Linked DNA regions of Xenopus tropicalis. The protein of the gene in region 1 purifies or fractionates together with the protein of each later gene. This does not show direct contact. Links are inferred from orthologs where the notes say so. Each region holds a gene or a part of one and is shown in the gene's direction. Other genes may lie near its edges. The genes, in order: rapgef2 and magi1.

What was found.
Region 2: the proteins of rapgef2 (region 1) and magi1 purify together in Homo sapiens (co-immunoprecipitation; 3 studies listed by BioGRID and IntAct, with this or other methods). This does not show direct contact. The link is inferred for Xenopus tropicalis from reciprocal best matches to the Homo sapiens genes RAPGEF2 and MAGI1.

The regions. Positions count from the first base shown.
Region 1 is NC_030677.2:52,811,328-52,818,728, reverse strand, and holds the start of rapgef2 (rap guanine nucleotide exchange factor 2), read left to right. Parts: upstream 1-2,899; 5' UTR 2,900-3,262; coding exon 3,263-3,331; intron 3,332-7,401. UniProt on the Homo sapiens protein: Functions as a guanine nucleotide exchange factor (GEF), which activates Rap and Ras family of small GTPases by exchanging bound GDP for free GTP in a cAMP-dependent manner.
Region 2 is NC_030680.2:143,757,620-143,765,030, forward strand, and holds the start of magi1 (membrane-associated guanylate kinase, WW and PDZ domain-containing protein 1), read left to right. Parts: upstream 1-3,555; 5' UTR 3,556-3,831; coding exon 3,832-4,129; intron 4,130-7,411. UniProt on the Homo sapiens protein: Plays a role in coupling actin fibers to cell junctions in endothelial cells, via its interaction with AMOTL2 and CDH5. May regulate acid-induced ASIC3 currents by modulating its expression at the cell surface.

The DNA.
Region 1 (7,401 bases):
GGCTGTATTTACACATACATTTCTGACAAAGCTTACTTAGTTTTTATCTTTCCTTCTCTTTTAACAAAAGTAAATTGCTTTTCTATTCAACAGCATCCCTTAGAGACAGGTTTAAATATTTTTGAAGAAAAAAATGTAAGGGAAAATGTGCATACCAATACATGGCTCAAAAAGAGTTGCTTTAGAATAAGAAGAAAGTGAGTTAGAACCTACACCACTGTCTTTATTTGCTTTACTATTACATTCCCAAATATAATTATATGTTTCCTCCTAACCAGGTCCAAATATGTAGGCATAGTAGTTATGCATGGGAGCCCCTAGCGAGCCCTACAAAAGTGTTCACCTGGTAAAAGCCACAAGGCCTTTGACAAAGAGCTATTAACCTATATCAGAATGAAAAAAACACATTTTTTGCAAGCTCATTCAGTTAGGCTTATACAGAAATTTGGACTTTCAAAAATGTCTAAATAAACACAAAAGTTAGGATGCTGTGTGAAATATAAAAAAAACAAGAATGGGATAATTTGCAAATCATTTAAACTCACTTGCACATATTACAAATACAATATATCCAATGTTGAAACTAAGAAATGTTATTGTTTTCAGAAAAATATCTGCTTATTTTGAATTTGATGCCCGCAACAGGTTCCAAAAAGTTGGGCATAGGCCATGTTTCTCACTGTGTTACATCTTTTCTTCTTTTAACAACACTCTGTAACACTTTGGAAAATGAGGAGAACAATTTCTGTAGTTTTTGAGAGTGAAATGTTGTCCCATTCTTGATTGAAATAGGATTTCACCTGCTCAGCAGTTTGGTCTCTCTGTTGTCATTTTCTTAGTTTCATAATGCGCCAAATGTTTTCAATGGGTGACAGGTCTGGGCTGCAGACAGGGGACCACTTTAGCACCGAACTTTTTTAATACAGGACCATGCTGTTGTAACACGTTATGTTGTTTTGCTGAAATAAGCAAGGCCTTCCCTGATAATGGCTTTTCCTGGATGGCAGAATATGTTGCGCTAAAACCTGCATGTATTGCTCAGCATTAATGGTGCCTTTCCCTGTGTGCAAGCTGTACTATGTGCACTAGTGCACCCCAATAGCATCACCGATAGTGGATTTTGAACTGTGTGCTGATAACAAGCTGGATGGTCATTCTCCACTTTAGCCGAGAGGACATGGCAACCACGATTTCCAAAAAGAATTTCAAATTTTGATTCGTCAGACCAAAGAACGGTTTTCCTCAGTCCATGTTAAATGAGCTTTGGCCAAGAGAAATACACAATGTTTCTGGATCATGTTTATAAATTATAATTATTAACATGTATTTATAAAGTACCAACATATTCCTTATAATAATATGTTTTCTTGTTGCATGGTAGAGTTTTAACCTTTTGTTTTTGGAAGTATTTCTGAGCCCAGGCACTGATTTCCACTACAGAATTGCAATGCTGCCTGAGGGCCTAAACATCACACCCATCCAATATTGGATTTGAGCCTTGTCCCTCGGGTAAATTGATTTCTCTAAATCTTTAAATCATAGTAGGTACTGTAGATAATAAATCCCAAAATTCTTTGCAAGATTATATTGAGGAACGCTTTTCTTATAATGTTGCAGTATTTGCCAGCACAGTGTATCAAAGTATACTTTAAATGTCCCTTTAAGTGTGTGCCCCATGCACAAGGGCCATGTAAGTGACACAAGTTCTGCAGCTGCAGTTCCTTTATAAATAAGCCTCTCTCACTGGCATATCAACATGGGGTAAAATAACTCCCCTTGAAACTGAGGCATAGCAGCTGGGCATCATTCTGCCATGAGCATGTAACTAAAGTGTACCAAGCGCTGACAGTGACCTGAAGACCTGTATCCTGTATACTTTATAACATATGGCTGCTTTTTGTTGTAAAGTTTTGGCCCTCAAGACACTGGTTTAGGACAGACAATCTCCATCTATTACCGAATAGCTATTGAGGTGAGATTTAGGTATGAAGGCTGCTTTATATGCAGTGTTAGACTGGCCCACCAGTATACCAGGAAACCTCCCGGTGGGCCCAGGTGTCAGTGGGCCCTCCTGCTCTTGACCATTTGGCCTGTTTCATGGTTTTTCCCTATTTTTGAATGGGAAGAAAGAGTAGAAATAGATGGAAGAATAGATGCTAGCATGTAAATTAAAGAGACTAGGAGAATAAAGAGGTTGGGTGAGGAAAGGAGGAAAAATAGTTTGGAGAGTGAAGCTAGGGTCCAAGGTTTTCACGTGGGCCCCTGGGGTCCCAGTCCCATACTGTTTATATGAAATGGCTGCCAAAAGTCTGACATGGGTTGTTTATATCCCAGGTAATGTCTCTGCTTTACTAATAGCATTTACACTGCCTGCTCTCACTATGAAATGCATTGTTATACCTATGACCATTAATCGTGTCATAAATGTTGTGTGGCACATTATGCCCATTACAGTGCAATTCCCATGTGTGTCACGGTAAAGAGTTGCTAGAAATGGTTTTATAATGGGTTTATGTCCTTTAGGAACCATACAAACCCATCAAAACGACACATAAGCCACTCGCACTTACATATTGTAGTAATGCAGGCTACATGGAACATGGTTAACATGTAATACATAATAGCTGCGGCCCCGTGTATATGCTTCAAGCTGCCCAATTCCCACGCAACAGAATAAATAAAGCACCGTGTCTGTGTGTGTGTGTGTGTGTGTGGGAGGGGGGGGTCTCCAGCAGCAAATTTCCTATAAATGAGATAAGAAAAGCCTAAAATAAAGAGCAGACGGGCCCAGACAGCCGCCAGGGGGAAGCAGAGAGCTGGCGAGAATCAGTGCAAGGAGTACAGGAAGGGGAAGGAGGAGGAGGAGGGTGCAGACCTCTTACTTCCACACCCTCTTCCTGCCCTGTGATGCTGCTGCTGCTGCCGCCGCTAGTGTGTGCCCCTCTCACCATGGCTGCAGCACTAAGTGTGAGTCCCCTGTGTGGGTACCTGGGGGCTGCCGCCCTCTGCCCGACACATAAGTGACAGCTTCGGATTTGCCTTTTTCCTTTGTTGGCTCTGGATTTACTTTTGTGGGCACAGAGAGAGCGCTGGGAAGCGACGTGGGGTTAATGTTGCCCGGAGTACCCCTGGCTCGTACTTTGTGTCGCTGGGAGGAGTGAGAGTTTCTGCACTGAGCATCCGAACAAGGCGGAGCACGGCTGGCCTTCAGCCTCCCAAGGGGGGGCACCATCCTCCTGCTAAACATCGGCGGAGCGCAACCATGGCGTCCTATGTGGATAACAGTTTCAGGCAGGCTGTGATGAAGCCCCCGGCTGACAGAAGCGCACAGGTATGGGCACAGACTGGGTGATGGTGTGTGAGAAGCTTGGCACCATGGGAAGTTTCCTGCCCCAGTGCCACTGAGTAGCTACTAAAGTACCCTTAGGCCTGTCTACTAGGTTTCTGTCTATAGGGATTGGATGGGTCAGTTCACACTGAGCTGTTAAATCTGCTTTGAAGAGTGAGACAAAGTTGCAGCAACTTATGTTTAGTTTGAGTAGTTCAGACATCACTTTTCTTCATCTGCAGCAAATGTCTGGAAAGCAGTGCAAATGCTATAGTTTCCTTACCAGCAATGACACCCAGTTCATTCATTTAAGCAGTACATAAAAACCCAGTTGCAGTGATCAGGGAATCTCCTTTTATTGCGTTGGTGTTGGTTTGGCACATGGGGACCCTTGTAGTATGTAAAGGTATTCAAGCAGGGTGTGGAGTTTCGCTGTGTGTTGACAGTTCGGGAAATGAGTAGGGCCACTGCACTTAGAGCAAAGACACATGGAGCTACTTGGTAGCAGCTACTTGTCACGGCTACTAACCACCAGAAAATACCCTGCCATAGACCATACTGAGAACTGCCTCTGCTAAAACACGTAAATCATCAGTAAATGTTTAGCTTTGTCTATTTTTGTAGCCGTGGTAAGTAGCTGCTACTAACATATAAAAGCATCGTCTGATACGGTCATGTGATACAGGGAATTGTAGTTCAGTAGCAGTTTCAGGGCAACCAGTTGGGCATGCTCCCTTTCTGAATGGAAAGTATGTCATTTGCAACTACTATTGCAAAGGGGAACTAGTGAAACACTTTCTTTGTGGCTGCCCCTGACAACAAAGATAGAACAGGGAATGGGCTTGCATTCACAGCAACAAAGCTGAACAAGCGAAATATAATAAATAAATTACCCTCTTCTCTTTCATTATGTGACCCACAATTGTTAATGTTACAGATTTTATTAGCTTTTATCTAATTATATAGCCCTAACTAACTTCTTGGCGCTGTAGCTATGATAATAGGTAATGTGCTGTGTTTCCCTTTATTGTTTTTTGCTTTAGCCAGTGCCTCACTACTTTTATGAACTAGTACTCCAGGAGGTCTAGCAGGGAATTCTGGTAGTTGTAGTCCAACCACAGCTAGATAATTAACACACACCCACCCTGCTAAATGGCTTGTGCCTGAATATTTAGAGAGTTCTGGGTAGAAGTTGAAGTCCATAATGTGCGGAACATAATTCAGGATGACTGTTTCCCAATAAATTGGACAATATTTTCAAAACCTGGTTTATACATTCATTTTACAGTCTGTTCCTGCCAGCTTGTGGATTTACTAGTGCTTGTGCTACAGAAAGCATGGTGTAGTCTTGCCCTCACCTCATTAACGCTACTCTCCTCCCTGAAGGAGTAACACTATGGCATAAATAATGCAGGGTGCCAGCGCTGGCACTTCCAGCAGGCTTCATGGCTAGATTTCACATGACATCACTTGTCACAAGGTTGCTTGTTGTATGCATTTCTCTGGGCTGCATGTAATCTGATTCCAATGACAGCATTCTCTCTGCCTTGTCAAGCTGGAATTTAAAGAAAGAAAAAAAAAAAATCCTTGTTAGGGGCCGGTGTAATTGGTCACACACCTCTTAGGCGAAACAAAAACTTTTTTCATGACCTTAAGGTTTATCTGTTAATGGTGAATTGTTGCTTTGAGCCCTTTTAAAAGCAAAATGTCTGTGTCAGAGACTGTATACAGTGTATAATACAAAGGTTAATATTTTATCTAGTACAAGCTGGTGTGATGCAGTAATACATATAGTGTGCTGATGTGGTAACAGGAACTGTATCCTGAAGGTCAGGTCTGCAAGTGTAACTTAGTCCCCTGATGTGACCCTGTGTATAGTAGCTGGTTCTAAGGAACACGCTTTGGTACAATGTTGAGCAGCTTAGAGTAAAGGCAATAGGCTTCCAGCAGGTCTCTGCTAAACAGTAACTTGCCAAGGGAACTAGAAGTCCTGTTTCACTCCTGTTGGACTTTGCTATCCATGGGCATAAGGGATTTAGTCATTTAAATAAATTGCTCCTATGTATACAGGAAATATTCTCTAATGCTGAGTAACAGCAGATGAATTAAGCTTTATATTTACCTTTTGTAAAGTGTATATGTTTACTGCTTGAACGTTTGAAGTGGACTTCCTTGTGTCATATTGGTTTCCTTCCCGTTTTAGTTTATCATATGATTTCTTAAGATTCAGGTTTAGTGCAGTAGCTACTCTCACAGCTGGCTCAATCCTCATTTATCTAAAGCTTGTCCATTTTTAAGCTTGTCCGAAATTGGAAAAATCCACCCATTTGGCAAAGGCAATATCCTTCTCACCACAGTGGTAAATGCAGGGTGGGGTTTTTAAACCTGCCCAATTAATATGTGACTGGGTTTTGGCCCCATACACCAGCAGATCAGCTGCTGACTAGTTCTAAAGGGAATGAATTGGCAGCTTAAATCTCCCCCTGTATGGCCACCTTAAGATTACTGTTCAATGGAGAGTAATGTAATATTTAAAAAAAAAAAAACAAAAAGACATGAATACATTAAAAACAAATCTGCTATGTAATAGAAAATGAAATCCATATCTATTTATGTGACAGTAAATGGGAAACTTCTTGTCTGATGCCTTCTCTCCTTCAGTCTCTTTGCTTCAGGGCACCTTTACCTTGTAGGTGCTGAATAAGGCGTGGTGGCTTTGTGCTTCTAATCCTTTCCTTAGGACACATTGCCAGTATATGATCTCAGGATATTCTCTCAAGGGCTCAGCAGGAGTAACCAAATGGATGGGTGAATCTGACAGGTCCACTTGTGCTTCTGCTGCATGTGGATATTCTGAGAACAGGCACTGTTTTGAGGGGGTAGGGGAGAGGGAGGACAGGTTTGGAAACGACCAACTGAGTATGACTGTTTCAGTGTCAGAGATGGCAGTACACATCTTGATTCCTTAATTTTACTATTACCTTATTATAGTTATGATATTCTGTGCAATAAAGTAACAGCTGCTCATTTACAGAAAGGTATAGTGGCAGGAAGCACATTGTGACCCCACTCACAGCTGCCTGGGGTACACCAGAAATGTACCAAGCAAAGTGTTGTGCCCATCCATCTACTGCCTTCCTAATCACTGTGGGAGGAAAGGCAGTTATGTAGTCAAACTCCCAGTTAATTATTCTACATAACAAACCTCTATTCATTATATGACTACACTGGCAACCCAGAGGTGGGAAGAGGAGCTCATTCTAATGAGCTGTTATATTATTGCACTGGGAGCTAGAGTGCCAAAAAATCTTTTTACTACAGAGCATCTGCTGATTCTGTGAGATAAATAACCCATGTTCTGTATTTGATTGAATCACCAAACCAACGTTTTCATGCAGAAAGACTATTCGGAATATGTTTTTGTTATGTTATGTTCAAACCTAGTTTATTTGGCACAATAAACATTCATGGTAATTTTTAGAATTCACAACCTTAGTTTTTTAGTGAGGACACAAGAACATATGTTTTTCAGCAATATATACTGTTTTCCTGCCTATAAAAATGTGCTGCATTTACCCCTTTTAGTCAGATGACAGCTCTTCAGATATTGTTTTTTATGACTTCCCGGTAATCGTTGACTTGATTTATTGGTCGTCCTTTAGTGAGGTCTGACTGTAACAGTCTGTTTTATTTGTTGGTACTTTATTTTTGGAAATGTTCCTGCAGACTCTACTTTAGTTCCTATATAAAATATTAAATACTCACTTTGTTTAAACCCCTTCCCCCCTTATTTATTTAATTTTACTGATTCTTTATTTGAATGATCCATTCAGTAGATTGTGGCAAGTAGTAGCAGCTGTTTTTTACTACAGGGTTTAGGAACAAGAGTGCAATTAATTGATTTCTTAAATACTGTATGTGGGTGTTTCAGAAGGAGACAGCCTTTTTTCCCCATAATCATAGCCTTTACTTTCATAAGCTGCACTGCTTTAAATAAGATTATCAGCAATATGTCTGCGCATAATTCCCTGGATTTATATAATCCTCTGTTGACCAAACATACACTGTAGAAA
Region 2 (7,411 bases), on another chromosome or scaffold:
GTCTTCATTTTTTATTATTTGGAGTTTTTTAGATTCAGTTCAGGAGCTTTCCATTCTGGAGTTTCAGCAGTTATTTGGTTGCTAGGGTCCAAGTTACCTTAGCAACCAGGGAGTGGTTTGGGTGAGAGACTGATATATGAATAGGAGAGTGCCTGAATAGAAAAGAAAGTTACAAAAAGTAACACTAATAATAAAACTATAGCCTCACAGAGCAATCGTTTTTTCGCTGTCGGGGTCAGTGACCTCCATTTAAAAACTGCAAAGAGTTGGAAGAAGGCGGCAAATAATTTGAAGCTATAACAAATGCATAATGAAGATCAGTTTAAAAGTTGCTTAGAATTGGCCATTGTATAACATACTAAAAGTTAAGTTAAAGATGAACTGCCCTTTTTAAGCCCTCTGATATGTGGCACCCAGGATGTAGGAACAGAGTTGGGTGCCCCCCAAAAAAGTGTAACATTTCATGTTGTTCCTACACATTAAAAAATAAAAAAAAAAAAGGGCATTTTAGATTTTGTAGACTTGATGAATTGTGAGACAACTGCTAGTTTACCAGGTACTGTCCCTTTAAAAGGGATTGTGGGAAATCTTTTTATAGCAGAAACGTCAATCATTACTGGAATGGACTGCGGAAAGTGCAACAGTGAAAGTGCATGAGAGGGTGCCGGGTCATGGAATGTACAGAATATTGATGTGTCTGTTACATATGAACTGGAACTTACACGAGAAGGTCACATCCCACAGCACTTGTCTAGTTTAATGGCAATTTGTCCCCTCCAGCTGAAAGTGGCAGGGTCTGGGGGGTGCAGGGCACACCGGGTCTACTGCCCCAGGGATCCCCGCCACCCCCCTGAACTTACCTTCAGCACGTTGGGGGAGGGAGATCAGCAGCCTGGGGGAGTGCCCAGCAGGGATCGGGCTTGGCCAGTGGGGCCCACTGGGTTTTTTTCCACTGGCCCAGTCCGACCCTGGAAAGTGGGATGGTATAGTCCACCTACGGGGGCTTGATATACTGATATAAAGTGTAATAGTGTAACCTGCTACTATCCCAACTGCTTCACCTCTTATACCACAGCCCCAGTCCCTTCCCAGAGGCTATTATCCCCCCACTGCTACTATAGGCACCATCTCTCCCTACTATACCTGCTATCCCACAGCCACAGTCCCTTCCCAGAGGCTATTATCCCCCCACTGCTACTATAGGCACCATCTCTCCCTACTATACCTGCTATCCCACAGCCCCAGTCCCTTCCCAGAGGCTATTATCCCCCCACTGCTACTATAGGCACCATCTCTCCCTACTATACCTGCTATCCCACAGCCCCAGTCCCTTCCCAGAGGCTATTATCCGCCACTGCTACTATAGGCACCATCTCTCCCTACTATACCTGCTATCCCACAGCCCCAGTCCCTTCCCAGAGGCTATTATCCCCCCACTGCTACTATAGGCACCATCTCTCCCTACTATACCTGCTATCCCACAGCCCCAGTCCCTTCCCAGAGGCTATTATCCCCCACTGCTACTATAGGCACCATCTCTCCCTACTATACCTGCTATCCCACAGCCCCAGTCCCTTCCCAGAGGCTATTATCCCCCCACTGCTACTATAGGCACCATCTCTCCCTACTATACCTGCTATCCCACAGCCCCAGTCCCTTCCCAGAGGCTATTATCCCACTGCTACTATAGGCACCATCTCTCCCTACTATACCTGCTATCCCACAGCCCCAGTCCCTTCCCAGAGGCTATTATCCCACTGCTACTATAGGCACCATCTCTCCCTACTATACCTGCTATCCCACAGCCCCAGTCCCTTCCCAGAGGCTATTATCCCCCCACTGCTACTATAGGCACCATCTCTCCCTACTATACCTGCTATCCCACAGCCCCAGTCCCTTCCCAGAGGCTATTATCCCCCCACTGCTACTATAGGCACCATCTCTCCCTACTATACCTGCTATCCCACAGCCCCAGTCCCTTCCCAGAGGCTATTATCCCCCCACTGCTACTATAGGCACCATCTCTCCCTACTATACCTGCTATCCCATAGCCCCAGTCCCTTCCCAGAGGCTAGTATCCCCCCACTGCTACTATAGGCACCATCTCTCCCTACTATACCTGCTATCCCACAGCCCCAGTCCCTTCCCAGAGGCTATTATCCCCCCACTGCTACTATAGGCACCATCTCTCCCTACTATACCTGCTATCCCACAGCCCCAGTCCCTTCCCAGAGGCTATTATCCCCCCACTGCTACTATAGGCACCATCTCTCCCTACTATACCTGCTATCCCACAGCCCCAGTCCCTTCCCAGAGGCTATTATCCCCCCACTGCTACTATAGGCACCATCTCTCCCTACTATACCTGCTATCCCACAGCCCCCAGTCCCTTCCCAGAGGCTATTATCCCCCCACTGCTACTATAGGCACCATCTCTCCCTACTATACCTGCTATCCCACAGCCCCAGTCCCTTCCCAGAGGCTATTATCCCCCCACTGCTACTATAGGCACCATCTCTCCCTACTATACCTGCTATCCCACAGCCCCAGTCCCTTCCCAGAGGCTATTATCCCCCCACTGCTACTATAGGCACCATCTCTCCCTACTATACCTGCTATCCCACAGCCCCAGTCCCTTCCCAGAGGCTATTATCCCCCCACTGCTACTATAGGCACCATCTCTCCCTACTATACCTGCTATCCCACAGCCCCCAGTCCCTTCCCAGAGGCTATTATCCCCCCACTGCTACTATAGGCACCATCTCTCCCTACTATACCTGCTATCCCACAGCCCCAGTCCCTTCCCAGAGGCTATTATCCCCCCACTGCTACTATAGGCACCATCTCTCCCTACTATACCTGCTATCCCACAGCCCCAGTCCCTTCCCAGAGGCTATTATCCCCCCACTGCTACTTTAGGCACCATCTCTCCCTACTATACCTGCTATCCCACAGCCCCAGTCCCTTCCCAGAGGCTATTATCCCCCCACTGCTACTATAGGCACCGTCTCTCCCTACTATACCTGCTATCCCACAGCCCCAGTCCCTTCCCAGAGGCTATTATCCCACTGCTACTATAGGCACCATCTCTCCCTACTATACCTGCTATCCCACAGCCCCAGTCCCTTCCCAGAGGCTATTATCCCCCCATTGCTACTATAGGCACCATCTCTCCCTACTATACCTGCTATCCCACAGCCCCAGTCCAACTTAAATCACAAGAAAACAACAAGCTGCTGCTCTATGTCTGGAAATTATAATCTGTGACTGAGCTCTATTTAAAGCCGAAGTGGGAGTTGTAGTTCAGTAGCTGGAAGGCTGGGGACCGCATATCCCAGAGTTAAGGTTTCTCTTTGCTGTTCTTTGTCAATCAGAAGAAATTACCAACCCCCAAAATAGATTAAGGTGCGCTATAATGAGTAGCTTTCCTGCTCCGCCCAGAGCTGGCCGTAAGGGGATCCTGGGAGTTGCAGTTCCTGCCCAGCCAGAGCCACAGGTTGGGATTCTTACTGAGCGCTGGAGGGGAGGGAAGGTGAGTGTTGCGCATGCGCGGCGCGGCTCGGCTCGGAGGCTGCCCTGCCCGGGATGGAATGGGAAGAGAGCGGATACTTTGTATCAGTGTCTCCCGGAGAGTGAGGAAGTGAGAGCAGGAAGCGGCCGGCGCTGCCCCCTTCCCGGCTGCCTCCTTCCCGGCCAGAGGGAAACTTTGTGGGCTCAGTATGAGAGGATAAAGGCGGGGGCTGCCGGGATACAAAGTTTGCCTTGGGATGGCTTGAATGTGACCGGGGGGCGGCAGTGTGAGTGCAGCCGGGGGGCTGCCGGGGGCTCAGCATGGCCAAAGTCATTCAGAAGAAGAACCACTGGAGCAGCCGAGTGCACCGCTGCGCTGTGAGCTGTGTGGGGGAGCCGGGGGAGCCGGGGCTGCCGGTGCTGGGGGGCGCGGAGGATGGGGAGTTCCTGTACCTGGGGGGGGCGGCTGAGGGGCTGAGGTGCAGCGATGGCGAGCTGGCCGAGGGGGAGTTACTGCTGGAGGTGGCCGGGGTGCCCGTCTCTGGATTACCGCGATACGATGTACTGGAACTGGTCCGGAACAGCAAGCAGCCTGTCCCCATCACTGCTGTCAGACAAGGTAAGGGGGAGGGGCCACTAGGGGTCACCTGGTTAGCTGGTCACTGGGCTACCTGTTTAGCTGGTCACTGGGCTACCTGTTTAGCTGGTCACTGGGCTACCTGTTTAGCTGGTCACTGGGCTACCTGTTTAGCTGGTCACTGGGCTACCTGTTTAGCTGTTGGGCTACGTGTTTAGCTGTTGGGCTACCTGTTTAGCTGTTGGGCTACTTCTTTCACCTGCTCAGTTGGCAACCTGCGCCCTATGTGGCAATTGACTGGTCACTATGTGGCCATTGCCTGGTCACTTAGCCACCAATTGGTCTCCTAGCCACCAATTGGTCTCCTAGCCTTTTGCCAGTTTCTGGCTACCTATCCCCCAACTGCACACTAGTCCCTGGGTCGCTTTTCATCGGCCAGAGCCACCTGCTAACTCGCTGTTCCATTGGTCACCTTATTACTTGGCTGGCCAGCAACTGACCATCTGGCTTGTCACGTCAATAAGTATTAATTTATCACTATATAATTAGCAGTTGTTATTACATAGTCATTACTTACCTAATCACACATTGTTTACATGAGCTTGTCATTTGTGTCCTGGCAACTAGTCATCAAGTGGCCTCTTACTAGCTTAGTGATAGCCTCCTGGCTACTTGCTGCCTAGCTGTTAGCTGGTCACCTGGTTGTTAAATAATCACTTGACAAACTGGCCACTAACCCATCTTCTTTAGGCCGCAAACTCCTTATCAGTTGGCCATTCACTCATTAACTGGCGGCCTGCTGGCCAACAACATGTTTACGTTAGAGACCGTCAGCTAGTCACTATCAATGTGCTTGTACTTTCTCTTCCACTAGCCACCCTCTTGCCTTCAGCCGGCCACGTGACCAGATATATCGTACGTGTTTGTCATGGTGATATACACACGCACTATTTTGTTTACATAGGAAGGAGTTCAGGGACCCTAGTCAGACCCTGTGGCCCTCCAGCTGTCATAACTCCCACTAACACCTGAAGCCTCAGTGGCTGATGGGATTTGTAGTTGGACGTCCCCCTATCGGTATTATCAGGTTATATTTCCATTCTATTCCAACCCCCCCTGACCGTGGGCAGGAGTACTATTTGCAGAACATGGCACTCTGTGTGCTGATAAGGTCCTGTATATCATCAAGTTCTGCCCAGTTAGCCGGTCGGCTATTGGAATTAAATTTGCCCCCCCGGCCACTGGATAATAACATTCCTACCCTGTACCCTTGTATTAGATCCTGGTAACAGCCTCGTGTTTGCTTATACACACGGATACAATGTATCACCTCGGGGGCAATAAGGCACTCGGCGCACTCTATGAATAATGTAGCGTAGAAGTCGTTCCGCTGGAATATAGTGGAATGCGTTTGGGGAATCTCCCTTAGATTTATCATTGCTGATATTTCCAGTAAAACCTGCTATTTATAAAATTACCTTTTTTCCTGTTATTTTAGTGAGAACTAGTGTTCTGAAGCCAATCAATGCATTTGGATATTGTTCATATTCACATTCACGCCTGCATTCATTCGCCCAGCAGCCCCATGTGATTCGGTTTATTGCGCGCGTTGCTTATATATAAATGTTGGGTCGTATTGTGCTCGCATTAGCGTGGTGGAAAACATTCCTGTGTCAATATTTGTGTTCTAGACGTGACACACTAAGCGCACCTTGGCTTTCTGATCTGTGAGAATGGAGTCACTGGCTTTACCATTAGCCCGACTGTATGAAAGGCCTCATTAAATGCTAAAGGGCTTCAAAGGTGTCGGCACATACCTGGAAACAATACGCAGAATTATGTAATATTCAAAAGAAAAAGTTTTTGTGACTTTGGCACAGTGACGTGTTTCTCCGTGGCTATTGTTTCCATAACCTGCCTGGGAAAAAAACCAGCAGTTTTGTTTTGCTTTATGGCAGAGATTCTACAGTAGATACAGACTGGGTTATAAATGAGGATCAAATACTTTATCTGAAAGGTTTGTTTTGCTTCACGGCACTGCTGCTTTTGGAGGTTTAAGCTAGTTATGAGAGTGCAAGAGGTAAGAGAAAAACCCCAATCTTTTAGGGTGAAGACACACAGAGCTACTAGTAGCAGCTACTTTTTCGCAGCTACTAAACTCCAGAAAATATACTCCCATAGACAATACTGAGAATTGCCTCTGGTAAAATACACGTAGAAACAGTTATCAATAAATGTTCAGCATTGTCTATTTTAGTAGCCGTGACAAGTAGCTGCTACTAGTAGCTCCGTGTGTCTTCACCCTTAGGGTGATGGCCCACATGGAGATTAGTAGCCCCTGGTTAAATCTTGGCTACCACAGGCGACTAATCTGCCAGAGATGCCTTTCCACATGAAATAAAGTGAATTGCAGGCATTTCTGGTTTCAGATTAGTTGCCAGCGGTCGCCGGCTACTAATCGGCCCGTTGACTATTGCCTTTAGGCTTATGCAGAGCCACGATCAGTAATCATGGGACCCTATATTACTGTAAAAGGAGGGCTCTTCCCCCCCCCCCCTGGGGGAGGCAGTTATTACTTCACCTGTTACCTGGACCCTTGCAACAAGTATTTTGTAGCCCTAATAGGCACCACCCACTACTTGCAAGGCCCACCCACTACTTGCAAAGCCCACCCACTTCACGGCCAATGGAATCTTGGAAGCCCACCCTCTGTAGTAGCCCCTGTACCCACCTGATGTCAGTGAACATAGGGCCCAGTTTGGGTGCTTGTCCCAACGTCCTGCCATTTGTTTCAATAGAAACTGCCGGTGACAGCGTTATTATACATAGAATTCAGAATAATAGGGCTGTTAAAGCTTGTGTAAACAAATGAAATTGAAAAGTAACAAAGGCGTAATAATATGAACCTTTAGTTCCCCTTTATAAATTTGCTTTCCTGAGTTTTATGGGGTATGGGTCGCTTGACAATAAACAATCTTTTTGGTTGGCTTGTGATTATTGGCTCTTGGGTTAAGTAAACAAAGTGCTGGGTGTGCGATAGGGAAGGGTCAGTGACCCCAAACGTCTCTCCCTCTCTGGTTCCAAAGAATTAATATGGATCCGCTGTACAAACAAAACCAAGTAGAGTGTGAAAGGGTCACAAGTCCTTCTTGCTTCCCAGTGCAGCTGCGCTCCATCCGAGTGCTTTCCGACACCTTCTGACTGCTGGGAACGAAGACTGGAGGCTGGGGGGGAAAAAATCAGATGGACAAACCCCCTGCGACTGCTCATTGTGCCCCAAAATGTGTCTGTTTGTGTTTGTATTGCGGTTACCTGTGCTCCTGT